7 linked regions of the Callithrix jacchus genome follow. The protein of the gene in region 1 purifies or fractionates together with the protein of each later gene. This does not show direct contact. Links are inferred from orthologs where the notes say so. Each region holds a gene or a part of one and is shown in the gene's direction. Other genes may lie near its edges. The genes, in order: DAXX, HSPB1, DNMT1, MAP3K5, RNPS1, CBX5 and CREBBP.

The links.
Region 2: the proteins of DAXX (region 1) and HSPB1 purify together in Homo sapiens (affinity purification with western blotting; 3 studies listed by BioGRID and IntAct, with this or other methods). This does not show direct contact. The link is inferred for Callithrix jacchus from reciprocal best matches to the Homo sapiens genes DAXX and HSPB1.
Region 3: the proteins of DAXX (region 1) and DNMT1 purify together in Homo sapiens (affinity purification with western blotting; 4 studies listed by BioGRID, with this or other methods). This does not show direct contact. The link is inferred for Callithrix jacchus from reciprocal best matches to the Homo sapiens genes DAXX and DNMT1.
Region 4: the proteins of DAXX (region 1) and MAP3K5 purify together in Homo sapiens (affinity purification with western blotting; 7 studies listed by BioGRID and IntAct, with this or other methods). This does not show direct contact. The link is inferred for Callithrix jacchus from reciprocal best matches to the Homo sapiens genes DAXX and MAP3K5.
Region 5: the proteins of DAXX (region 1) and RNPS1 purify together in Homo sapiens (co-immunoprecipitation; 3 studies listed by BioGRID and IntAct, with this or other methods). This does not show direct contact. The link is inferred for Callithrix jacchus from reciprocal best matches to the Homo sapiens genes DAXX and RNPS1.
Region 6: the proteins of DAXX (region 1) and CBX5 purify together in Homo sapiens (affinity purification with mass spectrometry; 3 studies listed by BioGRID and IntAct, with this or other methods). This does not show direct contact. The link is inferred for Callithrix jacchus from reciprocal best matches to the Homo sapiens genes DAXX and CBX5.
Region 7: the proteins of DAXX (region 1) and CREBBP purify together in Homo sapiens (affinity purification with western blotting; 3 studies listed by BioGRID and IntAct, with this or other methods). This does not show direct contact. The link is inferred for Callithrix jacchus from reciprocal best matches to the Homo sapiens genes DAXX and CREBBP.

Annotation. Positions count from the first base shown.
Region 1 is NC_133505.1:41,563,007-41,566,985, reverse strand, and holds the start of DAXX (death domain-associated protein 6), read left to right. Parts: upstream 1-1,179; 5' UTR 1,180-1,272; intron 1,273-2,151; exon of another isoform or gene 2,152-2,154; 5' UTR 2,155-2,203; coding exon 2,204-2,410; intron 2,411-2,559; coding exon 2,560-3,391; intron 3,392-3,536; coding exon 3,537-3,748; intron 3,749-3,902; coding exon 3,903-3,979. UniProt on the Homo sapiens protein: Transcription corepressor known to repress transcriptional potential of several sumoylated transcription factors. Down-regulates basal and activated transcription.
Region 2 is NC_133503.1:11,064,272-11,067,663, forward strand, and holds HSPB1 (heat shock protein beta-1), read left to right. Parts: upstream 1-1,320; 5' UTR 1,321-1,360; coding exon 1,361-1,724; exon of another isoform or gene 1,725-2,165; intron 2,166-2,407; coding exon 2,408-2,471; intron 2,472-2,582; coding exon 2,583-2,772; 3' UTR 2,773-2,892; downstream 2,893-3,392. UniProt on the Homo sapiens protein: Small heat shock protein which functions as a molecular chaperone probably maintaining denatured proteins in a folding-competent state. Plays a role in stress resistance and actin organization.
Region 3 is NC_133523.1:9,373,678-9,377,938, reverse strand, and holds the start of DNMT1 (DNA (cytosine-5)-methyltransferase 1), read left to right. Parts: upstream 1-1,461; 5' UTR 1,462-1,515; coding exon 1,516-1,595; intron 1,596-1,713; exon of another isoform or gene 1,714-1,835; intron 1,836-4,261. UniProt on the Homo sapiens protein: Methylates CpG residues. Preferentially methylates hemimethylated DNA. Associates with DNA replication sites in S phase maintaining the methylation pattern in the newly synthesized strand, that is essential for epigenetic inheritance.
Region 4 is NC_133505.1:143,406,012-143,409,511, reverse strand, and holds part of MAP3K5 (mitogen-activated protein kinase kinase kinase 5), read left to right. Parts: intron 1-332; coding exon 333-469; intron 470-2,263; coding exon 2,264-2,369; intron 2,370-3,500. UniProt on the Homo sapiens protein: Serine/threonine kinase which acts as an essential component of the MAP kinase signal transduction pathway. Plays an important role in the cascades of cellular responses evoked by changes in the environment.
Region 5 is NC_133513.1:4,505,914-4,509,413, forward strand, and holds part of RNPS1 (RNA-binding protein with serine-rich domain 1), read left to right. Parts: intron 1-428; 5' UTR 429-545; coding exon 546-616; intron 617-853; coding exon 854-1,009; intron 1,010-1,874; coding exon 1,875-2,066; intron 2,067-2,301; coding exon 2,302-2,404; intron 2,405-2,700; coding exon 2,701-2,854; intron 2,855-3,042; exon of another isoform or gene 3,043-3,500. UniProt on the Homo sapiens protein: Part of pre- and post-splicing multiprotein mRNP complexes. Auxiliary component of the splicing-dependent multiprotein exon junction complex (EJC) deposited at splice junction on mRNAs.
Region 6 is NC_133510.1:65,270,094-65,274,208, forward strand, and holds the start of CBX5 (chromobox protein homolog 5), read left to right. Parts: upstream 1-1,315; 5' UTR 1,316-1,430; intron 1,431-4,115. Other genes in the region: HNRNPA1 (heterogeneous nuclear ribonucleoprotein A1), read right to left, coding at 1-73, 632-646. UniProt on the Homo sapiens protein: Component of heterochromatin that recognizes and binds histone H3 tails methylated at 'Lys-9' (H3K9me), leading to epigenetic repression. In contrast, it is excluded from chromatin when 'Tyr-41' of histone H3 is phosphorylated (H3Y41ph).
Region 7 is NC_133513.1:5,895,637-5,899,136, reverse strand, and holds part of CREBBP (CREB-binding protein), read left to right. Parts: intron 1-792; coding exon 793-1,035; intron 1,036-2,384; coding exon 2,385-2,487; intron 2,488-2,807; coding exon 2,808-2,954; intron 2,955-3,500. UniProt on the Homo sapiens protein: Acetylates histones, giving a specific tag for transcriptional activation. Mediates acetylation of histone H3 at 'Lys-18' and 'Lys-27' (H3K18ac and H3K27ac, respectively).

The DNA of each region.
Region 1 (3,979 bases):
TTTGCCATTCCGGGACTCAGCGTTAGGGATCTAAGGACCTCTGTGGCCCCAGTTAAGTGGCAAGATGTTGTGAAAGTGGGAATCTCAACGATTGGGACCCTGTTAACATTTCTGGTTTCCTCATAAGCTCACCTCTGGAAACAGCCTTGCCTCCACGACACCCTACAGTCTCCCTAAACTCAACGAGGTGAGTATCAGTTTGTTTCTTCATCCTTTATTCTTTTTTCAGCTCTCCCAGAAGAGGAGGCGGAGACCCAAGGTATTTTCGTCTCACAGACTCTCCTCCAAGTCCCACCCCATCATTGCCTATCCACAGACCCTGCGGGGGGGCCTCCACGACAAAGCACGGCCTCCTGGTCAGCACAAACGGCCCCTCGAGGACCCCCTCCGGAGAAGCAGAACCATTCGAGTCCCACCAGTTTGGTTGGCCATTAGTTCTGTGGTGAAGCTTGAAAAGCAAATCAACAACAGTAGCAATAATAATAATAACAACACTTTTGCATGGCGCGTTGTGCTCATTTGTATGCATGTGTTATAACAATCGGGAGACGCAGACCCTGGCAGTGGAAGCAACTGCTGGACAGCGGCAAGGAGCGCGCCGCCTAGCGGGGAAAGGGGAAGGAGCAGCCGAATAAGCCTTGGAAATGGGAATCTGGGAATCTGGGGGACAGGAAAGCAGGGCCAGAAGGCTTGCCAACAGCCCAGCTGAAATAAAAAGGTTTTACTTCCCTTTTAAGAGACTTCTGCCCTTCCATGAAATCCTGCGCAGCTTTGGAAAGCCCAATTCCTTATCCACCCTGTACGGTTCCCCTGCCCCTGCTCGAAAAGGAGGCTCGGTCCTCCCTACATGCTACTCGCCAGCGATTAGGCCCCAAGCAGGAAGTTTCTGATTGGCAGAGTCGTAGAAGCACCGGGTGAAAAGAGCTCCACTGGCTGCGCACCGGAGTCCGGGTTTAGCCAGCGCCGTACGGCAAAATGGCGGCCCCCAGCTGCTTTGGGAAGCTTGGGTTGGGGGAGACAAACTCCGATCTGAAAGAGAGCGCTATGTGGGCGGCACTGAAAGTGTTCACGGGGCGGGCCTACGGCCACTTCCGTCCACAGAAAGACTGGGTTCCGTACGACAATATGGCGGCGCTTAGTTGCCTGTAGGCGGAAACTCTGTGACTTCCGGTCCGTAGTGGGGCCTGCGGTGGGAGGGGGAAGGAAGGCGGAGGGAACCATGCGAGGTTCTGAGATCAGCCGCGAGGGTCGCCTCGAGAGACCGTTTCTGAGGTGGGGGCCGGCCGGTGCGGGGACCAGAGGCAGGGGCGGGGATATCGGGGGAGGGGTATGGGGGAGAGCCAGGCATTGGGTCTGAGGTGAAAGCTGTGATACCTTCCTATCCCTGAAAGGGAGTGGGGCGGCCGGGGGTTGAACTGGGGGAGGGGGATTTGGCGGGAAGCGCGTCTACTGGACCTGCTCGACCCAGGGTTGGGATCTAAGAGGAATCGGGAGAACGCAGCGCGGAGGCTGGGGGGTACTTTTGATCAGGTCACAGAGAGAATGGGGAAAATTAGGGTGGGGTGAGAGGGAGGGGACTTGGAGTAAAATATCTTCAACCTGAAGCCCCAGTTTGAGGAGACTCATCAGAGGGTGAAATATGGAGCCAGTTCAAGGAGGGGAAAAGAGAACGGACTGTTGGGAGGGAACCTCTTTTGCCTCAGAGAGTCTAGAAGTTGGGGTGATCATTCAGGATGGGGTGGGTGTGGGGTTGACATGTTTGAGGACAGACGTGGCAAATACATAAGGTGGCGCCCATAAGAGTGTGTTATCTGTACAAGGGGGTGTCAGGACGATTTGGGGTGCAGTGTGGGAGGAAGACTCAACTTGCCAACTCTGAGAAATAGTGGAGAGACGAAACTGAAAGACCGGAAATCGACGTGAGGGGTGGAGCAGAAGGTGGCAACTTATGGTGTGGGGGTGGTTTGCCCTCCCCACACCACTTGAAGAGCCCGAAAAGCATATAGAACTAATGGTTATTGAAATCAGGTGGTGAAGATAGTTTTGGTCAGGGATGGATGTTACTGAAACCCAAGGAGTTAGGAAAATGTGTGAGGTGAAGGGATGGGGCAATGCTGGAGGGGATCATTCTGAGGCCCCATCCCCTTCCAGCAGGAATTCTGAAATCCCCACCACTTCCTCCGTCTGGGGGATTTGATCCCCCATGGCCACCGCTAACAGCATCATTGTGCTGGATGATGATGACGAAGATGAAGCAGCTGCTCAGCCAGGGCCCTCCCACCCACTCCCCAGTTCGGCCTCGCCTGAGGCAGAAGCCCCTAGCTCCTCTGAGCCTCATGGGGCCAGAGGACGCAGTAGTTCGGGAGGCAAGAAATGCTACAAGTTGGAGAATGAGAAGCTGTTCAAAGAGGTGAGCTTTAGTGGGAAGATTTTTGTACCCCAGGGAGGGGGATGGCTGACTGGCTCTCCTGTCCTTTCTTCCCCACTAACCCCACCACCCCTTTCTCTCAACCCTTCCCTTGTCTCTCTTCCCTTCCCTTCTTCCCCTGAACCTTCCAGTTCCTTGAACTTTGTAAGATGCAGACAGCAGACCACCCTGAGGTGGTCCCATTCCTCTATAGCCGGCAGCAACGTGCCCACTCTCTGTTTTTGGCCTCGGCGGAGTTCTGCAACATCCTCTCTCGGGTCCTATCTCGGGCCCAGAGCCGGCCAGCTAAGCTCTATGTCTACATTAATGAGCTCTGCACTGTTCTCAAGGCCCACTCAGCCAAAAAGAAGCTGAACTTGGCCCCTGCTCTCACCACCTCCAATGAGCCGTCTGGGAATAACTCTCCCACACACCTCTCCTTGGACCCCACAAATGCTGAAAACACTGCCTCTGAGGCCCCAAGGACCCGTGGTTCCCGGCGGCAGATCCAGCGCTTGGAGCAGCTGCTGGCACTCTATGTGGCAGAGATCCGGCGGCTGCAGGAAAAGGAGTTAGATCTCTCGGAATTGGACGACCCAGACTCCACATACCTGCAGGAGGCACGCTTGAAGCGTAAGCTGATCCGCCTCTTTGGGCGACTATGTGAGCTGAAAGACTGCTCTTCACTGACGGGCCGTGTCATAGAGCAGCGCATCCCCTACCGTGGTACCCGCTACCCAGAGGTTAACAGGCGCATTGAGCGGCTCATCAACAAGCCAGGGCCTGATACCTTCCCTGACTATGGAGATGTGCTTCGGGCAGTGGAGAAGGCAGCTGCTCGCCACAGCCTTGGCCTCCCCCGACAGCAACTCCAGCTCATGGCTCAGGATGCCTTCCGAGATGTGGGCATCAGGTTACAGGAACGACGGCACCTCGATCTCATCTACAACTTTGGCTGCCACCTCACAGATGACTATAGGCCAGGTAGGGGGTTAGTGGGATACCTGTCAGTGACCTTTATATTGTCAGGTATGAGGCGGATGGGGCATCTCTCTAGTCCTTTCTAGGGTTTGTACTCTTCTAGGCCCTTCAAGGGCTGAGTGCTCTGACTTTATGTCTTCCCATGTAGGCATTGACCCTGCGCTGTCAGATCCTGTGTTGGCCCGGCGCCTTCGGGAAAACCGGAGTTTGGCCATGAGTCGGTTGGATGAGGTCATCTCCAAATATGCAATGTTGCAAGACAAAAGTGAGGAGGGCGAGAGGAAAAAGAGAAGAGCTCGGCTCCAAGGCACCTGTTCCTCCTCTGCAGACATCCCCAATGCCTCCTTGGATTCTGGTGAGGTGTGGATGGGGTACAGCCTTCAGAGAGACTTTCTCCTTCCCCTGCACTGGCCACCAGGGAGTCCAGGTTGACTGATGGGGGAGTATGAAAAGGAATGCAAGAATCAAACCCTCTGGGGCAAGGGATTCCTTAGAGAAACTTCTTTGTCCCCAGGGCCCTAGTGGAATGGCATCCCAGGGGTGCCCTTCCACCTCCAGAGCTGAGACAGATGATGAAGATGAGGAAAGTGA
Region 2 (3,392 bases), on another chromosome or scaffold:
GTCGGGAGATCAAGACCAGCCTGATCAACATGGTGAAACCCCCTCTTAAGAAAAAAAAAAAGGAAAAGAAACAGGGTCTTGTTCTGTTATGCAGACTGGAGTGCAGTGGCACAATCAGGCTCACTGCAGCCTCCTGGGCTCAAATGATCCTCCCACCTCAGCCTTCTGAGTAGCTGGAACTACAGATGCACGCCACCATCCCCAGCTAATTTGTTTTGAATTTTAGTAGAAATGGGGTCTCACTGTGTTGCCCAGGCTGGTCACAAATTCCTTGCTTCAAGTAATCCTCCCACCTTAACCTCCCAAAGCCCACACACCTTGCAACCACACAGATTGTCAGATTCCTTTTTTTTTTTTTTTTTTTTTTGAGATGGAGTTTCGCTCTTGTTACCCAGACTGGAGTGCAATGGCACGATCTCGGCTCACTGCAACCTCCGCCTCCTGGGTTCAAGCAATTCTCCTGCCTCAGCCTCCCGAGTAGCTGGGACTACAGGCACGCACCACCATGCCCAGCTAATATTTGTATTTTTAGTAGGGACGGGGTTTCACCTTGTTGACCAGGATGGTCTCGATCTCTTGACCTCGTGATCCACCCGCCTCGGCCTCCCAAAGTGCTGGGATTATAGGCGTGAGCCACCACGCCCAGCCATCCAGCTAATTTTTAAACATTTTTTGGTAGAGGTGAGGTCTCACCATGTTGCCCAGAATGGTCTCAAACTCCCGGCCTCAAGGGATCCATCCTTCCTGCCTTGGCCTCCCAAAGTGCCGATTACAGGCATGAGCCATGCACCCAGCCCCTTTTTATTTTTTTGAGACAGGGCCTTGCTCTGTTGCCTAGGCTGGAGTGCGGCGGTGAGAACATAGCTCACTACAGCCTCGAACTCCTGGACTCAAGCACCAGACTGCTTTACATCACATTCCACACACAGCCTTGTGGTTCCAACCCTGCCTCTGCCACTTCCCAGCTGTTTGCCCCAGCCCAACCTGTCTGGCGCTGTCCTGCTTAACAAAAGGACTGGCCTGGCCGCCGGCCACACCCGCCAGCGCTGAAGCACCAGGGCCTCCGAGTGCCCTAGTGTGGCACGTCTCCAGCGTCGCACTCTCGAACTCATTTGTTTTCCTTAACGAGAGAAGGTTCCAGATTGGGGCAGAACCCTCTTCGCCCCGCCCACGGCCCCCTGAACTCTGCGGATGGGGGGGAGGGGTGCATGGGGAGAGGCGGTCCCAAACGGGTCATTTCCATTAATAGAGACCTCAAACACCGCCTGCTAAAAATACCCAACCGGAGGCACATAAAAGCGCGACCCAGCACCGCGGCCCGCACTTCTCCGAGCAGACGTCCCGGGCAGAGCCAGCCAGCATGACCGAGCGCCGCGTCCCCTTCTCGCTCCTGCGGAGCCCCAGCTGGGACCCCTTCCGCGACTGGTACCCGCACAACCGTCTCTTCGACCAGGCATTCGGGATGCCCCGGCTGCCCGAGGAGTGGTCGCAGTGGTTCGGCACCAGCAGCTGGCCGGGCTACGTGCGCCCCCTGCCCCCCGCCGCGGTCGAGGGCCCCGCAGTGGCCGCGCCCGCCTACAGCCGCGCGCTCAGCCGGCAGCTCAGCAGCGGGGTCTCGGAGATCCGGCACACGGCGGACCGCTGGCGCGTGTCCCTGGACGTCAACCACTTCGCCCCCGAGGAGCTGACGGTCAAGACCAAGGATGGCGTGGTGGAGATCACCGGTGAGCACCCCCTGGCCCTGCAGGGGAGGGGAGGAGGCTAGCGGGGAGGGCGGGGCCCGGGGGTGCGGTTGAAACCCCGGGCCTGGGGAGTTAAAAGTTAGCCCAGCACCGGGAAAAACGGGATCCGTCCGTGATTCCCCTGCTCAGGAATCGGGAGTGCAGGTCGCTTCTAAGGTCGCTTTCTGCTCTGTTATCTCAGCGCCTTGGGAGGCGGAGGCCAGGAGTTCAAGACTAGCCTGGGCAATATAGCGAGACCTCCCCCCCTACCAACTACAAGAAAATTAAAAAGCAACCAAAAATGTTTTAAAAGATCATCGGTGAAGAAATGCTTCTTTCCACGGAACTCTCTCCCCACCCGCAGCCCCATCCGCAGATAAGCGGGTCCCCTGGCGTGGTCCCTGTCCCTAGCCGCGCGAGGGGCGTGCGTGCTCCTCCCAGTGCGCCTGCGCGTTGCTCCCTCCGCCCCTCGGCACCCTGCTCCGTTCCTCCCAAAACTCTTACTCGAACTTTCCGGAAGTTTCTGAGAGCCCGGACAGGCCGGCACGCCCCCACCCCCAGTCTCCTCTGTTAATCCCTGCCAGCCTGCAGTCCTGGCTGCCTCCAAGCTGGAGGTGGGGCCTCTGGCCTGGCGGGGCCGAGAGTCGGTCCCCTTTCCCTCATTCTGATTTTCCTGTCCCCCGAAGGCAAGCACGAGGAGCGGCAGGATGAGCACGGATTCATCTCCCGCTGCTTCACCCGGAAATACTCGTGAGTCCTGCCGCCAGGTCGGGGTGGGTGGGTGCCGGGGGCTAGGGAGGAGGGCACAGGGACCCACCCGAAGTGTAATGTAACGTTCACATTCCCTCTCTGCACGTCCAGGCTGCCCCCTGGTGTGGACCCCACCCAGGTCTCCTCCTCCCTGTCCCCTGAGGGCACACTGACCGTTGAGGCCCCCATGCCCAAGCCAGCCACACAGTCCAACGAGATCACCATCCCTGTCACCTTCGAGTCGCGGGCCCAGCTTGGGGGCCCAGAAGCTGCGAAATCTGACCAGTCTGCAGCCAAGTAAAAGCCTTAGCCCGGATGCCCACCCGTGCCGCCGCCACTGGCCATGCCTCCCCCCCCACCTGTGTGTTCTTTTGATACGTTTATTTGTTTTTCTCAAATAAAGTTTGAAGCAACCCACCTGTCACTGGCTCAGACCCTGGTGTTTGTGGAAGGAAGCTTCGGGCACCTGCCATTCCCTGGCTTACACTAGCCACCTTTGCTCAGGGTGTGCTGGGTGCACAGCCCCGTGCTGGGCCATGTGGGTACTCCCGTGTAGGTTGCTAGGCACAGGCTAATTCACATCCATAAAGACAGAGAGGTCCTATTGCCCGGCATTGTGGCTCAGACCTGCAATACCAGCACTTTGGTAAGTTGAGGCAGGAGGATTGCTTGAAGCTGAGAGTTCAAGACCAGCCTGGACAACACAGTGAGACCCTATCTCTTAAAAATAAAAAGCCAGTTGCAGTGGCTCATGCCTGTAATCCCAGCACTTTGGGAGGCTGAGGGGAGCAGGTCATGAGGTCAGGAGTTCGAGACCAGCCTGACCAACATGCTGAAACCCCATCTCTACCAAAAATACAAAAATTAGCCAGGCGTAGTAGCATATGCCTGTAATGTCAGCTACTCAGGAGGCTAAGACAG
Region 3 (4,261 bases), on another chromosome or scaffold:
ACTCGGGAGGCTGAGGCAGGAGGATCACTTCAACCTGGGAGGCAGAGGTTGTAGTAAGTCAAGATTACGCCATTGCACTCCAGCCTGGGCAATAGAGTAAGACTCCATCTCTCAAAATAAAATAAAATAAAATAAAATAATTCCAGCTGGTTGCGATTGCTCACGCCTATTTAATCCCAGTACTTTGGGAGGCTGAGGCAAGCAGACGCTTGAGGCCAGGAGTGCCAGACTAGCCTGGCCAACACCGTGAAACCCTGTCTTTACCAATAAAAATACAAAATTAGCCAGACTCGGTGGAGTGCGCCTGTAATCCCAGCCTTCTAGGGAGGCTGACGCATGAGAATTGCTTGAAACTGGGAGGCAGAGGTTGCAGTGAGCCAAGATCTCACCACTGCACTCCAGCCTGGATGATAGAGTGAGACAGAATCTTATCCTGTCACCCAGATGGGAGTCCAGTAGCCCAATCACATCTCATTGCAGCCTCCACTGCTAGGGCTCAAGCCATCCTCCCACCTCAGCCTCCAGAATAGCTAGGATTACAGGTATGTGTCACCACACCTGGCTAATCTTGGTATTTTTGGTAGAGATGGGGTATTCCTATGTTGCTAAGGCTGGTCTTGAACTTCTAACCTCAAGCCATCCTCCCACCTGGGCCTTTGAAAGTACTGGGATTACAGGCATGAGCCACAGCGTCTGGCATGGTACTTCTTAATATATTTTTACCAATCTTCCTGCCTTAACCTCTGGAGTAGTTGGGACTACAGGCACACACCACCATGCCTAGCTAATTTTTTTTTTTTTAGAATGGTTTCTCCATGTTACCCAGGCTCCTGGACTCAAGCAATCCTCCAGCCTCGGTCTCCCAAAGTGCTGGGATGACAGGCATGAGCCATGTGGTGCTTTAAAAAAAAAAAGGAACAACAACAACGAAAAACCCCACACTGGCTATAGAAGAGGCACGGGCCTCTGTACACTGTGAGATTATTAGTACTAGCTACAAATTCTGTGCATACTCAAGATTTTCTGGAGTAGGTGTAATTACCCGGTTTTACAGGCAAGGATGCAAAGGCTGAGCCTCAAAGACCTACCCAAGGTCGTATAGCCGGCAAATAGATGGAGGTTGGATTAGAACTGAGGACTTTATTCAAGAGCCCTATTCTCACAACCCCATGGGGGCTTCTCGCTGCTTTATTCCCAGCACGCCTGAAAGAATGAATGAATGAATGCCTCGGGCACTGTGCCCACCTCCCAGCAAACTGTGGAGCTTGGACGAGCCCACTGTTTGGCGCGGGGGTGCCTGTCCGCCTTGCGCATGCGTAGTCCGTCGGCATGGACCGCTCCGCTCCATCCGTCTGCACAGGGTATCGTCTCTCTCTGTTTGGTACATCCCCTCTCCCCCTGCGCCAGGGCCAGGGTGGTACACGCCGCCTCCGCTAGTCGCCCCTCCCCATCGGTTTCCGCGCGAAAAGCCGGGGCGCCTGCGCTACCGCAGCTGCTTCTGCTCTAACCTCCGAGATGCCGGCGCGCACCACCCCAGCCCGGGTGCCCACGCTGGCCGCCCCAGCCATTTCGCTGCCCGACGATGTCCGCAGGCGGTAGGTACCATGGGGGGATCGCGGACTCTGGGGACCAGGCAGGGCGCTGGGTGGGGGGTCGTTTCCCCTCGGGGTGGCCGCTGGCCGCTGCTGACAGACGGGCGCGCATGCGTGGGGTGGTGCGGCGCGCAGCGGCGGTTGGCGCGGGCAGAGTGGCACTTCCGGTCCCGCGTGCCCGGGCTGTTTGGCGCCAAAATGGGCCGTGGATTCCCCCGTACCTCCCTGGTGGCTAGAAACTAGGTAGCGGGAGAGGTCTCTTTTGATCCCCAAATCGAGCAAGCTTTGGGTTTGTCTCCAGGGTTCCCTTCTCCACGCAGTGGCGTGCCGGGCTCCTGCTTCCAGCCTGGTTGCACAGGAAGTGGGCAGCCCGCGGCCAGCGGACACCCCTCGGGCACGGGCACTTCGGCCTCCACTTCCGGTGTCCGGCCGGGTCCCTGGGGGTGCTTCTCTGGCGGGAGGGGGTGCCTCAGTGCCTTTCCCCAAAAGCTGTGCATCCCGGTAGCGGCCCCCAGAGACGGACGTCATCGCTCGGGCCCGGGCTGGGCTGGCTACTGTTTGCGAGCCCAGCCTTCCATCAGTGGGGGGACTCATTCTGTCACTTGGGACTGTGCGGTCCTTGCTCCTTGGGAAAGTCGTGTTTTGGCAGGAACTTTAAGCATGCAGTACAGTGCAGCGCAAGGAAGCGTGAAGGATGCATGGTCGGTCTTCACTAGTAAATGTGTGTCTGTACTAGTAAATCTATGCCTTTGAGTGGGCATCAGGGAAGCCTTGCTAATGGGAACTGGCTACACTTTCGGGTGTGTGTGTGTGTGTGTGTGTGTGTTTGTTTGTGTCTAATGTTGGGGGCCGTGGCTATAGCAATTCATAACCTCTGTCCAATTTCCGTGCATAAGTATCAGTGGGAGCACTGGTCCCAGCCCCTTGTTCATGAAATTTATGCCTAAGAACTTGTTCAAGTGAGGTGTGCATTAGTCATCAGACCCTCACCAGACCTGGACACTTCCAACTGGATTTGCAAAAGCACTCTTTGCCATTTTGCTTCCTTGGGCTTGTTAAGTGACCTGGTTGGGCCAGGCCAGTACTGATTTGGGTCCTTGGGGTGGGATGGATATTTGGTTTGACCCCCTCTTTCTCTTTTTGAAGGCTGGGCGCTGTGGCTCACGCCTGTAATCCCAGCAGTTTGGGAGGCCGTGGCGGATGAATCTCTTGAGCCAGGAGTTTGAGACCATCCTGGGCAAGGTGGCAAAACCCCATCTTTACTAAAAATACAAAAATTAGCCAGGAGTGGTACCATGCGCCTGTAGTCCCAGCTACTGGAAAGACTGAGGTGGGATTAACACTTGAGCCCCAGAGGTTGAGGCTGTAGTGAGCCGAGATTGTCCAACCTGAGTGACAGAGTGAGACCCTGTCTCCAAAACCACTTTTTAATTTTATTTTTAGAGATGGGTCTCTGTTCAGGCTGGAGTGCCCTGGCACAATTATAACTCACTGTAGCCTTGAACTCCTGGGAGTAGCTGGGACCACAGGCCGCTCACCACCATGTCCAGCTGACTTTCTTAGTTTTTGTTTCTGTATACATGAGGTCTCACCATATTGGCCAGGCTGGTCTTAAACTCCTGCCCTCGAGCAGTCCTCGTGCCTCTGTATCCCAAAGGTTAGGATCACAAGCGTGAGCCACCCTGCCTTAACTACTCCGTGTTTTTTTTTTTTTTTTTTTTTTTTGAGATGGAGTCTTGTTCTGTCGCCCAGGCTGGAATGCAGTGGTGTGATCTCAGCTTGCTGCAGCCTCCACCTCCTGGGTTCAAGTGATTCTCCTGCCTCTGCCTCCCAAAGTGCTGGGATTATAGTCAAACCACGTCATAACCAGTTAGTGGGGATATATCTTCTTGAATTATCTGTGCCAGTATCCTCCCAAGATAAACCTTGGTTTAAAATGGAAGTGAAATTATGAAAGTGTCTAACTGCATGATGTTAAATGCAATTCAGAGAAGCTTGGGCCTAGTCTTTTTTATTTGCTTTTATTTTGCAGAGATGGGGTCTTGCCATGTTGCTCAGGCTGGTCTTTGACTCCTGGACTCAAGCAATCCTCCTGCCTTGGCCTCTCAAAGTGTTAGGATTATGGATGTGAGCCTGGCCTGCCCAGCCTTCTTGAAAACACAGCCTCCACTTGGAGGACCTTAAACAAGCACATGCCACCTCTATATTCTTAGTCTAGGCATGATGACATGGGTTTTCAGCTGGTATTGGACTAAATGAGAATATGCCTGGCTCAGAAAGGCTCACATGCTAGTGGCCAATTAGCTTGCTTTTTTCAGTTTTTGTTTTTTTTTTTTTTTTTTTTTAAGAGATAGGATCTCACTGTATCATCTAGGCTGGAATGCAGTGACACAATCATGGCTCACTGCAGCGTCGAACCCCAGAGCTCAAGCCATCCTCCTGCCTCAGCCTCCTGAGTAGCTGGTACATGCCACCATGCCCAGCTAATCCTTAAAAACTTTTGTAGAGGTGAGGGTCTTGCTTCATTGCTCAGGCTGGTCATGAACTCCTGACCTCGTGATCCACCCTTCTTGGCATCCCAAACTGCTGGGATTACAGGCATGAGCTACCGTGCCCAGCGTTAATTCATTCTTAAACCTGCTCATAGACAGGTAGGCTTCCCCACAAGA
Region 4 (3,500 bases), about 100 Mb from region 1:
CTTAAATAATTTAAAGTTCCAAAAGCTTTACATTTGAATTATGTAATTTCGCAGAGACAGTGCGTAAATATGGGAACCATTTCAGTACCAATCATCTTGGCTTGAATTAAGGTTAGCAGTTGACACTGGCCTTTTACTTAGACGCATTTGGTAGCAAGCTTCTTCAGAGCAGGGCTATTTGCAAATTTATGTTTGAGCCCAATATCTAGTACAGGGCCTGGGCCACTGTGAAGAACCAATGATTGTTAGCTCAAATTACTGTTACGTTATTAATATTCTTTAAAGAGCTCATTTGAATGAGGTTTTATTTACTATTTATTCCTACTTTACAGGAAGTCTTTCTGCTCTCCTCCGTTCCAAATGGGGTCCATTAAAAGACAATGAGCAAACAATTGGCTTTTATACAAAGCAAATACTGGAAGGATTAAAGTATCTCCATGACAATCAGATAGTTCACCGAGACATAAAGGTGGGGTGCACCAGGATTCGTTTTCATGAGTTCTTTCTTTGCTGGGTTATTATTTTACTTGCAAAAGTCATATTGTGTTATGAATGTTAATTTAGAATGGTGAATAAGTAATTCTTAGAAACAGCAGAAATCTAAGCTATAATTCCGCCCTGAATCACTTCTTTATGTTCATGTGTTATCACTTCTGCTCAAGGAACAAACTGCTTAACTGTTCAGCCAACAAGATTGTGCTCCCACTATATGATGCTTCCTAGGGGCTCCGCAGGGTGGGATGCAGTTGTCTAAAGTTAAACAGGGCCCTGGTCCTGAGGAGCTTACAGGCTGGTTAATCTTTGTATCCTTTTCCATAGTAGCTACTCAGTAAATACTTAATGAATCAATGGATGAATGGTTAGAAGAAAAAAAAAATTCCTCTTTTCTCACAAGTATCACATATTCATTGATTGAACTATAATTATAAGGTATAGATTCTCTAAAATTAAAATAATAACTTTACATTCTCTTTTTAAAAAGAAAATTCAGAACAAATACATTTTTCACAAAGTCTAGACTATTGAAAGTAAGTTAATATTACTACCCTAAAATCAACCAAAATGCCCATTTATCTGTAGTGTCCCTACATGTTCCAGGAGAAAAAGTAAAGAACCATAGAAAAGAAAGTAAAGTAATTGGAAAGTTATGAAAATCATAATTTAATTATGCATATATCATTACATATCTGTAAATAGCAGCAAGCTCTAACCAATTAGGAATCATATTTGGTCTTGTGATCTGAGTAACAGATTGTGAAGAACTTATAACCACACAATGAGTTCATCTTGCCCGCTGACCAGATAGAGCTGACTTCTCAAGACAGAGGAATTGCAATCGAGAAAGTTTAATACACATAGAGATGGCTAAAACCAGATATTGGCGTTTTATAATAATTCACATCAGCCTCTCCCAAAATTTAGAGGCTAGGGTTTTTCAAAGATAGTTTGGCGAGCAGGGGGCTAGGGTACATGTGCTGCTGACTGGTTGAGGATGCAATCATAGGTGTGTGGAAAATGGTTCTTGTGCACCGAGTCCACTTCTGGGTGGGGGCCACAGTAATGGTTGAGTCCAGAGTCACAGGTCTGGGTAATGCCATCTGGTAGTCAGATATGGAGTAGCCTGAAAAGACAGCTCAAAAGGCCAGTCTTAGGATCTACAATAGTGATGTCAATTATGAAAACAACTGGGGATGTTGCAAATCTTGTGACCCCCAGAATAAGGAGCTGATAATCATGTAACTATGCCTGCATCTTAGCAGACTTTAGGCCCCTCTCATCCTCCTAACCTGGTTGCCTTTCCTTAGGTTTATGAAGGTGGTTTAGTTTTGGGGAAGGGCTATTATCATCTAAACTATAAACTAAATTTCCCCAAGTGAGCTTGGTCTACACCCTGGAATGACCAAGGGCAGTTTGGAAATTTAAGGCAAGATGGTGGTTGTTAGATCATATCTCTTTTACTGTCATCATTTTCTCACTGTTATAATTTTTGCAAAGGTGGTTTCACACTGATAATATGTAAACAAAAAACAGTATCAAAAATTCACTATTGAGATCAACTACTAATGAAGAATACAGAATTAGTGTCATTGGTTGCTGTAAGGACAGCTTTTTTAAAAATTGGACTTACCAAGTCAACAACAGACAGTATCTGAAGAAAGATAACATTTGTGCAACAAAAAAAAAGAAGAAAAAAAGAGAAACAAAAGAAAATTAAAAAAAGAAAGAAAGATAACATTTGTGATGAAAGTCCTCTGTTCTCTAGGGTGACAATGTGCTGATTAATACCTACAGTGGTGTACTCAAGATCTCTGACTTCGGGACATCAAAGAGGCTTGCTGGCATAAACCCCTGTACTGAAACTTTTACTGGTATGTTTTTACAATGATGATACAGATCTCATGTAATTAAAGAAATAATAATTGCTGAGTTTGAGCATAATGTGAGAGAGAAATTCAGTTGGTGTTCTCACACACAGTAATGTTGGTATCTTTTCTCTTTTCTTTCTTTCTTTTTTTTTTTTTTGAGACAGGGTCTTGCCCTGCCACCTAGGCTGGAATGCAGTGGTGTGATCACCGATCACTGCAACCTCAAACTCCCAGGCTCAAGTGATTCTCCCACCTCAGCCTCCCGAGTAGCTGGGACTACAAGCCTGCACCACCATGCCCAGCTAATTTGTTTTGTATTTTTGATGGAGACAAGGTTTCACCATGTTGCCTAGGCTGGTCTCAAACTCCTGGGCTCAAGCAATACACCTGTGGCCTCCAAAAGTGCTGGGATTACAAGTGTGAGCCCCGACACCTGGCCAGTATTGGTATCTTTCGATGCTCACTGAAAAATGTGTTACAGAATTTTATTTGGCTCTTTTCTCTTCCTGTATTTATATGACTTGCTTAGTTAGTCTCCTGCTTAATGCCACTGAAGTTTTTTTTTTTTAAGTCTCAACTTGTTATTTGTTTTTCTTTTCATGTGATTACTTCTCTCCTGGTTGGCCTACAGTAACTCCAGCAAGATTTTTTTTTTTATTAAACATTTCCTTGGCCCAACCTCTCTGTGATTCTTACTCATAGCCTAATCACTTCCCATTTGGAGGAGGAATTCCCTCTTTTACTGTTTACTCTCTGTTGTTGACTCCCCTACGCCACAATATAAATAACCACAGGATTTCAATTCAGAAAGAGGAAGTGACTAACTGACTCACAAGAGGGAGGGAGAGAGCCTTCCTGAGAAATTAGGCAATGCAGCCCCTGAGCTGCCTGTAGTGCAGTCCTGAGAGGGTGGAGACCAAGTGTTTCCAAAAAGGTAACAGTAGCCAAGAGGAAGCTCAGACTCAAGAGATTCAAGACTGCTCAACAGTAATAGGGAGGGTATGTGAGATTTCAAACCTGATCTCCACTCTAGGTTCTTATCACTTCATCATGCTGATTCTCATGAAGGGTTAAGTTCTTCTTATAGAGAGAAATTTAGCAAAAAAAAAAAAAAAAAGAGAAAAGAAAAGAAAG
Region 5 (3,500 bases), on another chromosome or scaffold:
GGCTGAAAACTAAATTGTTCAGCCTGTAAAATGACAGTGATGGGCCCCACCATCTCCTCCATTTTTTTAAGAAAGATAAACTGGCTGGTCGAAGTGGCTCGAGCCTGTAATCCCAGCTCTTTGGGAGGCCAAGGCGGGTGGATCACGAGGTCAGGAGTTTGAGACCAGCCTGGCCAACATAGTGAAACCCTGTCTCTTTTTAAAAAAAAAAGATAAACTGGGGTGACAGTTCTGCCTGTGCCTCCTGTGGGGGTAGAGACACCTCCATGAGCAGGTGGGGACTGTCCCCATGTGTTCCTGGTTGTGTGGACGCACACTGCTTACTGTCCTCCCTTGCCGCCTTCTTGTATGCTCAGCTTTTGACTGCAAAGTAGACTTGCTGCCTTGCCAATTCGTTCACTCTTTAAATCCTTTTATCTTGTTATTAGGCTGCTCTTTGGCGTAAATTGCAATCAATTAGGGATCGTTTCTCAGAATCCAGTTAGAAGTGAGAGTTGAGATAAGTGAGGCCGTCATTGCTGCTTTGAACACCTCAGAAGGGGAGAATGGATTTATCAGGAGTGAAAAAGAAGAGCTTGCTAGGAGTCAAAGAAAATAATAAAAAGTCCAGCACTAGGTAATCCTTCTGTAAGATTTTTCTAGTGCTACTTTGGGGGTGCTTACTGCTAGGGACCCGCAGAAAGGGGAAAGTTGAGAATGTTGTGCATTCTGCAGTGAGTGTTCCGAGCCACAGACCACTTTGCTCTGTGATCACCTGGGATCTCTGTGGCCCTGCTGCTCCCCTTTTTCTGGGTTGTGCTATCTGGGTTTGGTCAGAGCAGCACACAGTCTCACACTCTTCCTCACCATCTAGGGCTCCTTCTCCTACCAAACGCAAAGACCGCTCAGATGAGAAGTCCAAGGATCGTTCAAAAGATAAAGGGGCCACCAAGGAGTCGAGCGAGAAGGATCGCGGCAGGGACAAAACCCGAAAGAGGCGCAGCGCTTCCAGTGGTAGCAGCAGCACCAGGTGGGCGGGCGGGCCTGGAGCCTGTAGGGACCTATGCCACAGCCACACCCTCACTCGCCACAGATGGCTCCGGTTTTCTTGATTATTTACAAAGAAATCACATCCTCTTATTGTTAGTAGAAACCCTAGTTTATGGCGGATTGGCCAGGCAAAGTGGCTCATTCCTGTAATCTCGGTACTTTGGGAGGCCCAGACGGGAGGATGGCTTGAGGCCTGGAGTTCCAAGACCAGCCTGGGCAACAAAACAAGATTTCGTCTCTACATTTTTATAATTATGTGTGTATGGTGGCATGCATCTGTAGCCCAGCTGTTTGGGAGGTGGAGGCAAGAGGATAGCTTGAGCCCAGGAGTTTGAGGAAAATAAACAAAATTAGCCAGGCATGGTGGTGCACACCCGTACTCCCAGCTACTCAGGAGGCTGAGTCGGGAGGACGGCTTGATTCCATGAGGTTGAAGCTGCAATGTACGGAGATCATGCCATTGTACTCCAGCCTGCGTGACAGTGAGACCCTGTCTCAAAAGAAAAGACAACTGAGCCTGAGTCAGCATCAGCCAGCAGCTGCCTTCCCAGCCTGAGTCGGCAGTTCTGACTTTTGCTAGACTCCACCTCCCGACAGGAAAGGCTTCTCTATGGGTAGAAAGCAGCCTATCACCTCTGTCCTGTTCCCTGCACAGTGTGACACCTAGGGCTCTGGTTTGCTGGGGGATGGGACAGGAGTGATGTTTTCCACACTAGGGAAAGTAGGGAGGCCTGGAGATACCCAAACAGCAGTTTCCTCCTTGGGGGAGCACAACAGACTTGGAGGAGGCATCTGTACTGTGAGACTTGGCGTGTGGTAGTTGCGATCCCTTACCTTGCCCTCAGGTCTCGGTCCAGCTCGACCTCCAGCTCAGGCTCCAGCACCAGCACTGGCTCAAGCAGTGGCTCCAGCTCTTCCTCAGCATCCAGCCGCTCAGGAAGCTCCAGCACCTCCCGAAGCTCCAGCTCCAGCAGCTCCTCTGGCTCTCCGAGTCCTTCTCGGCGCAGGCACGACAATAGAAGGCGCTCCCGCTCCAAGTGAGTTCTCCATGCCTGAGAGCTAAAGCTTACAAGATGGGGGCTGGAGATTTGCCACTGGGGTTATGAAAGTGACCCCAAAGGAGTCTTTCTGCCTTGATAGGACTTCTGAGACAGGAATAATGTACATGCCTTCCTTAGGAAAACTGTCTTACAATCAGATGAGGCCCACTCAAAGGAATCTAGTACATTCTGACTTGACAGAATGTTTCTGGTGTTGTGTTTTCTCAATCAGATCCAAACCACCTAAAAGAGATGAAAAGGAGAGGAAGAGGCGGAGCCCATCCCCTAAGCCCACCAAAGTGCACATTGGGAGACTCACCAGGAATGTGACCAAGGTGAGGATCACGGATCTCTGGCTGTGGACAGGCAGGCCTGTGCCCCCAGGTAAACTTAGAATGTAGCGTTTTGGAGGACTGGGGTGGTGGTACCTGCTTTCAGTACAGCACTGATTAGTTCTCTTAGTGGACCATTAATAGACGTGTCTAGGAGATGTATACCAGAGCGACACTGGTGCTCACTGGATGGATTGTTTTGCCCTGCCAAAGTTTTAGTCATGATGTGGTGAACTTGCTGTACATCTGACACGACTAACTGGAAGCTGGGAGTTCAAGTGACTCTTCTTTCCCTCTAGGATCACATCATGGAGATATTTTCCACGTATGGGAAAATTAAAATGATTGACATGCCAGTGGAAAGGATGCATCCCCATCTGTCCAAAGGCTATGCATACGTTGAGTTTGAGAATCCAGATGAAGCTGAAAAGGCGCTGAAGCACATGGACGGAGGTGGGTGACCCTGCCACATAACCCAGCCTCTCAGAGACACAGCACCTGTAGAGACTTGACTTCCACCTGCACTGCACTTCTGTCTGTCTGTTTGTTTGAGATCACCCAGGCTGGAGTGCATTTGTTCCTGGACCAAACTGAGGATTGGGCCGCTATTTCTCATGGCCTGGTAATGAGATGCAGATAACTGAGGAGGAGGAAAGTTTTTATTTCTGCAGCCAGTTGCACGGAGAAGGCCTGGAAATTACTGCCAGAGCAACTTAAAGTTACAGAGTTTTTCAGCTTTTATACTTTTTAAGTTATATGTCTGTGCGTAAGTGTGCATTTATCTAAAGATGTAAGTGATTAACTTTTAATCTGTAACTAAGGTTTGAGTCATGGAGACCTTCCTCTGGAGCCTCAGTAAATTTACTTAATTTACATGGGGTTAGGTGCCGGAGTAAGAAGCCTTCCTGTGACTTCTGCCAGATCACAGAGGGTTGGGGAGTTTTTTAGGCCCCGGTGAAACTTGTTTAAAGGAGTCACATTAAGAATATCTTCGTTATTTTGTTGTTTTAAGACCCAGGAAAGGCCTAGGCAAAACTTGTGGTGGACTTTCTCACATCCGAGCCTTTGTATAACGGCACTGGCTTTTAATTTAACTTAA
Region 6 (4,115 bases), on another chromosome or scaffold:
GGCTCTCATCGGTTGTTTCAAAGCTCAACCCTCCAATGAAGAGCTTCCTCAGCTGTTCCGGCTCTTTAGGAGACTACAGTGGGGGAGGCGGAAGTGTTAAATGAGCTGTAACACCAAACAATTTCCATCGAGGAAAATCAAAACTAGACAACTGTGTATGTAGCACTTATTGTTCGTTCAGATTGCAACAAGCCATGTGCTTCTCTCTAACAGGGGAGAAGGTATGTTGGGGGTTGGGAGTGCTGCGAAATCCAAAGCGCATGCGTCCCTAGTCGCCTTCCGACGCACGCGCAACAAAGGCTTAGGCGGGAGGGGTACATCGCCAAAATGGGACTAATCGCTCTTTTAAAAACTCGCTCACCAAAGCAAGGTTTAGAAAAGGAAAAGCCTTATGTGCGTAAGAATTTTTGCTAAGACTATAGAGTGCTGCATAATAACTCATGATTGGCGCGAGCGGCCTCATGGCGATCAACAGGACAAAATGGCGACTTGAACTTTGGGAGGGGTAGGCCGTGGCAGCAACCTAAAAAACTGTAGAATGGGCTGGTGAAAGGAACGAAACCAAGCCGCATCTTACCAATTCAGGAAAGGAAGAGGAAGAAATTCAAGTTGGAAAGAGCGCCTAACTCACCTCTGACTTAGACATGATCGCGGGGAGAAGAGAGACTTTAACGATGCTGCTTCGGCGGCGTCCACGGGCAGAAAGGAGCAAACTGACGAACGTATCTGCCAGCCTACCTTCGGCCTTTCTTTTTTACCCCGCCTCCTCCCTTTCAGCATTGGTACACTCCGCCCTTGAACAGTTCTGATTGGATGTGTGAAATCTCTTCCCCCTACTATTGGCCTGTGGTGCCACACTGCTGTGTAACGTCATTCCTTTGGGCGGTCTACGCCCTCTCCACCCCTTGGAGTTCATTGGTTCCCGAGTAATATTATTCTTAACCAGTCTGATTGGCCAGCCGATAAATCATTCATATTTGAATATACCTTGGGTGTTTAACGCCTTTTTAATCTTCCCCGCACAAATATTACGCTTGGCAAAGCATGATTAACACTATGTGTCAGAAAAGCAGTTAGCCAGCAGGTCAAAATTTTGACTGCTTGTTGAGCGCACGTGTAGTAAAATGGCGAGTTTTGCGCAGGCGCATTAAGAACTTCCAGCAGCCTCTGGGAACACGTGAAATGGCGGGCAGTACTAGGCAGTGACCCTACGGCGCCTGCGTATTGGCGGGAGTTGGTTCCAGCTTTGCGCATGCGTGGTGGGCGGAGAAAGGGTCCGTTCCCGGATTGGTTGCGCAGGCGCAGGGAAGGATCCGTTTTGGCGGGCGGTTGGCGTTGCGCAGAAGGTGGTGGCGGTGGTGGCTTGCGTTGCGGCCTCACCATACAGCAACAGGGCAGACGTTAGCGTGAGTGATCACTCTCAATCCCGGGTAAGTGGCAGACAGTCTTCTCTACCCATCGTAGGTCTCGAACTGACTCTATTTGGGCCCGTTATTGTGTGAAATGAATGGACCGCGGGGTGGGGGATAGTGAAAGGGCAGCGGTGGGTCGGGCCAACCAATAGAAGAACAGGGGGCGGGATGTTTTAATCCCTGTAGGTTCTTTGGAGCGGTGCAGCTGAAGACTTTGACTGGCTTGCGTATACGCCAATTGGGTCTGCCTTGAGCTGCCGACTGATGGGCCCTTGGGGCCATCGGAATGTGGGAGACGGGTTTCCCCTCCTGAGCTGCGTCTCACTGAGCCAGTAAGCGCGAAGCGCGCGGTAGGTTGGGCTTCTCCAGGAGGCAGCGGTTTGACTCCAATGGGGAATGCGGGAGTCGGGCGGTTAAACTGATGGACCGAATCTGGAGCCAGTAGACGGACAGCCTAAGGAAAGTGCTCGGACCAGTCGTCCAATCGACTCCAGAAGAGGGAGGTCTTCGATTTGGGGTTGTGAGGAAGGGGAGTCGGTGAATGTAATGGCGTGTGAGGGTGAATGTTTTATCCACAGTGACTTCTCTAAGGAAGCCTTTAGGCCTCTGTCCCATAAACCTCCTTGAAAGCGTAAGTTTGCTCCTGGCTGCCTCGACTTGACATTTTCCCCCCCACCTCCTCACCACTTGAGGTTTGGAGAACAGGGGAGGGTTTTGTTGTTGTTAAGTAATACTTTGAGAAGTCGCTTCTTTAGGAAGCTGTTAAAATGTTAGAACGAATAGGAAAAATCACAACATACTGTCATGGAAAGGCGTTCGAGAAATATTTCTTTCCTAATAGTGCATATTTCTGAACTAATATGTTGTAGGTCTAATAAAAAAGTTTCGGAAAGCTACACCCTAAAGTGTGTCAATCCTAGGGACACAGTAGGATCGAGGCAAGTTGGATCTTTAATGTTTAAAACTTTGCAGGGTTAATGATCTGTGATTAAAACTAAATAAAAAATGAAGTCAGTTGTTTTGTGTTTCTAGTCATAATCACATACCACCCCTTTTCTGTTTTATATAATCCATGTACCCAGTGCTTTTATTTTAGTCTCTTTCTCCCGGGAACTTTTCCCGCTCATGTTTCCCCTTTCTTCACACCATTAAAGATATCCTAAAGCCCCTCTTTTTGCTGTTCCTTTGAGAATATCTGACTTTGAAATAAAAAGGAAACTGCTTAAAGAGGGTAATATTTAGAGTTCTAGGGAAAGAAGACTCATCCATCACCTGGATTATTCCTTGCTTTTTTATTAGATTTTCTTCCAAGTGTATTTTGCATGCAGTCTATCTCCTTTTGGTAATACCCACTCTGCTTATTCCAGGATCTTTTGGAGAAATAAATCAATTTTCATAACATTGGCTGTATCAGAGTCTTACTGTTTTATTCACTGATTTATTCAGGATCGAGGGAAAATATTTACTGAAAATCAACTACCTATGAAGTACACTTACGATTAGAGACCTTTCTGACTTTACCAAAGACAAACAATTTTAGTGAAGTTTATGAACATTGGAGAGATTTCCATGTTCTCTGGCAGTAGCAAAAGGACATATTTATAATTTATATCTGACTTTAAACCTATTTGCAGGTATTCTAGTAATGGAGTTATTGAGCTGAGAACTAACTAAAGTGATACAGGTTAAGGATATCTGTCCTGGATTTATTTACGTTTGAAAGTAATACAGTCTTGAATTATAGCAAGGTTTCTCAGCCTTAGCACTGTTGATATTTTGAGGCAGACAATTATTTGTTGAGGAGGCTCAGGGTGTCCTGTGCATAGTGAAATATTTAGCAGCATCCCTGGCCTCTACCCAGTGTATTCTAGTAGCGTCACCCCACTCGCTACATCCGCATTGGTGACAATCAGAATGTCTCCAAACATTGCCAAATGTCCAGGGAGGTAGGGGCGAGGGTAGAATCTCCCAGTTGAAAACCATTGATCTAGAATACTGGAGTATGCGGGGGCACAGTTTTGTGTTCCTGTAGTCCCAGCTACTCTGGAAGCTGACACGGAGGCAGGAGGCTTGAGCTCAGGAAGTCAAGGTGTGAGATGATTATGCCTGTGAATAGCCGCTATACTCCAGTCTGGGCAGTACAGCAACACCCTATTGCTAAAACAGAAATAAAATGCTAGAGTTTATTATCTTTTCAAAATCCATTATTTTAGCAACTGGTAAGTAGGTAAAGGTGGGAGAAGATTGTTGAAGTGTTTTTGTTTTTTAAGACCAAGTTTTGCTCTTGTTGCCCAGGATGCAGTGCAATGTTATGATCTCAGCTCACTGCATCCTCTACCTCACAGGTTCAAGTGATTTTCCTGCCTCAGCCTCCCGAGTAGCTGGGATTACAGGCACGCACTACCACACCTGGCTAATTTTGTATTTTTAGTAGAGATAGGGTTTCTCCATGTTGGTCAGGCTGGTTTTGAACTCCTGACCTCAGGTGGTCCCCCCACCTCAGCTTCCCAAAGTTCTGGGATTATAGACGTGAACCACCATGCCTTGTGGATGGTTGAAGTGTTTAGGGAGTGGCCTTTGGTAAATGGATGACTAAATCCTGATGTTTATCTCCTTAGGACATAGAATTGATTATTGTCCTACTTGATAAAAGAAAAATTTCTTTAAAATTATTACCACTTCTTGGCCTGGCTGCAGTGGCTT
Region 7 (3,500 bases), on another chromosome or scaffold:
CTAGGTAGCAGAAGCTGATGATGGCCATGTGAGGCAGAGCCACCTCCTGAATATCATGAGTACTGAGGAGACCCCTGGATAACAAGACTGATGTGGAATTGCAAAGCTTTCCTCCATCCTTAATTTGAAACAGATCAGTCGGTCACGTGCAGTATTTCTTGACTAGCTTCATGTAGCCAGAGAGCTCAGCGTGGTGCTCTGCCGCATAGGAATCCCGTCAAAAGGTTGTGTTCATGCTGTCATTGTTTGTGTAAGTTTCAAGGAATTCCAGTTATGTGATTTGGAAGAGCACAGCATAGATTTATTAATCAAAAGTGACTGACCAGGTATCATCTCTGCTCCTTCTCTACCTGTGCAGGTGAGCAGTGAAGGACAGGGTTGGGATCAGCAGCAGGAGGGTGCTCCTCTGTTCATCTCAGAGGTGTCTGCTGGCCCCCAGAGAATCAGATGTTTCCTTTGTCATCCATTTGCCACTCCCTGGAACTGACTTCTTAAGGAGTCTCTAGATTTTAAGATATACTAATTTTTTTAAGTGAGATTTTATGATCTGTTGCATGCTAAGATAGAAACTTGACTTTTCTTTAGCTTTTTGTTCTTCTCTTACTGCAAGGCGGAATAAATGAGAATTTCCTTCAAAACAGCTCCTTTCTCCCTAGCCTTGTTTCATGGCTTTCTGATATTCACGTGTAGTCTTTTGGTAAAATGTGTTTGCTTCTCAGAAGTTGTTAAACCATTTGTGGGCTTCCTCCTTTTGCTAACCTTTCTTGTTTGTCTGTCTCTTTGTTGTTATAGCCATCCTGGGGTCTCCGGCTAGTGGGATTCAAAACACAATTGGTTCTGTTGGCACAGGGCAACAGAATGCCACTTCTTTAAGTAACCCAAATCCCATAGACCCCAGCTCCATGCAGCGAGCCTATGCTGCTCTCGGACTCCCCTACATGAACCAGCCCCAGACGCAGCTGCAGCCTCAGGTTCCTGGCCAGCAACCAGCACAGCCTCAAACCCACCAGCAGATGAGGACTCTCAACCCCCTGGGTAGGTGAAAGAACTCTCAACCTCGTTCCTACTTGTCCAAATGCACTGAAGGGAATGGAGTGATGGAACCCAAGGCACTTTTCTGTTTGTTTTGTTTTTTACTACAATGATTGAAATAAAAATCTAACAGGAAAAAGCTGAAGTGTCTGATGCAAGGAAAATGTTACATGCTTATAAAAAGAATTTTTTATTTGCATTTGCAAATAAAGCAATGTTTTTGTTGCATTCTGTGCCACTTCTGTCTGGACAGTTTTCATAAAGAATGTGCCATGTGGCTCAGAATGCAGATCTCACACGTCAAGATGCTGAGCGGACCCCTCCTGCTGACTCTTGTCATTTATTTGATGGAGAACTTGTGTCTGGCAGTTTCTCACACATTTGGGTTAGGGTCTTCCCTGCAGTTAGAAGTGCCAGCCTGGACTTCAGCAGGTTAAAGACAGGAGTCCTGGGGACGTTCTTGGCTCAGGCTGCCGGACACACCAATATTCCTTTGTCACCCCAGCCCATTATTTGCCAGCGTTTGGTCATTTGCTTACACATCACCATGATTTTTGTCATTTCTGCATATGGTTTCTTTAACATTTTACTTTAAGTGGACACAGTCCCTTTACATTTTGGCTTAAGCTAAGTAGTGATGTTTGTAAAGTCAAGTCTGGTTAACTAGTTGTTCTAGTTTTGTTCTTTTCCTAATAGAGTAAGTATTATACTCTTAAAAATTACACCTTAAAATATGCCCAGTTAAAGTCACTTTATTTGTTGCTTTTTGGAAAACAACTGCCCTAATGAATATCTCATTAATACTGGCCAGGAGACTAGAATCCTGAGACCAAAGTCTTAATGTAATTCCTCTCCTGTTGATGGTGTAATTTGGGACAGGGTTAACCTTTTGAATCTCAGCTTTCGTTTACTTTAGTATGAAGATTGTAGACAAATTCACCTCGATATTTTTTCCTGAGCTTAATTTCTATGATTTTATTTTCTCATATTGGGGGTAATGATAGAGGCATGTGTCAGGGCAGCTGAGTCACTTAGGAGAGAGATTCATGAAGCAGAATGAAAGTTGGAGGCTGCGTATGGGTCACTAGATACCAGCTAACCTAGTGGTTTTACTTTGGTTACAAAGTAGAGTGGGGAGGCGTCTACTGATTATTTGTGCATGTTGGTTACCATTATTGAAATATGACACTCGGGGTTCCTGCCTTTGTGCTTATTATAACTGATCAGAATCGCTTATTTAAATAATCACCGATTGTTTATATGGTGACATGTTGGTTATCTGTCATCAACACTTTGAAGTATATATTAAAATTTTAAGAGTTGATCGATTTCTTTTCTTTCTGTCTTTAAAGGAAATAACCCAATGACGATTCCAGCAGGAGGAATAACAACAGATCAGCAGCCCCCAAACTTGATTTCAGAATCCGCTCTTCCAACTTCCCTGGGGGCTGCAAAGTAAGATCGTGTTTCAGTTCTGAGTGGCAGTCCTACGGAAGTGTGGGCCGAAACCGCACAGACCTGATTCTTTCTAAATGCGCGATAGAGAAAATAGTTAAATGGGGTGGTGAGGGATGAATGCTGTTTTTCTTTTTTCTTTAATTATAAATGTAGAACAGGTAATAGATTAAACGTAGTTTAACTTTGTGTACATACATCACTTGGCTCTCCTGACTTAGATTTTTAAAAGTCACATATGGTGGTAAATGAACCGTATTAGACTAAGTGTGTTTCAGTTCCTTCGGTAGATGGACGAAGTGTCCTTGTTTCCTCCCTAGCCCCCTGATGAACGATGGCTCCAACTCTGGTAGCATTGGAACTCTCAGTACCATACCAACAGCAGCTCCTCCTTCCAGCACTGGTGTAAGGAAAGGCTGGCACGAACATGTCACTCAGGACCTGCGGAGCCATCTAGTGCATAAACTGTACGTAACAGGTTTGCAGTTTCATAGATACCTGGTTTTGTTCCTGTGTTGCCCATTGGCTACCAGATGACAGTACCCTACTAGGCTGTACGAGCCATTCGCTTATTTAGGGAGCCACTCCCACTGCGGGTAGAACTCTGGCAGCCCTGGGCAGGCCAGAGATTCCCACACTCTGTGTCCTTGCTGAGTGGGGCTGTCAAAGAGAGCATGGGTGGCTCTGTACTGCTGAGGAGCACTGAGTTGCAGCCCCTGTCATGGAGACAAAGATCCTTGATGCAGTTTGGTCTTATGTGCCTCTGCACTTTGAGCTGCATGAGAGGGCTGGGGTTAGCTCAAAAGCTTCATCTTATTTTCTAGTTCCAGATTCTAGTTGTGGAGATCCCTCAGAATGAGATAAACTTAAGAGTATAGATGGCATGTCACTCTCACCTTACAGTTAGTTAACATAACAAAAAGTTAACAATTAACTTTTCTTTTTTTTTTTTTTTTTTCTTTTGGAGATGGAGTCTCGCTCTTGTCACCCAGACTGAAGTGCAGTGGCACGAT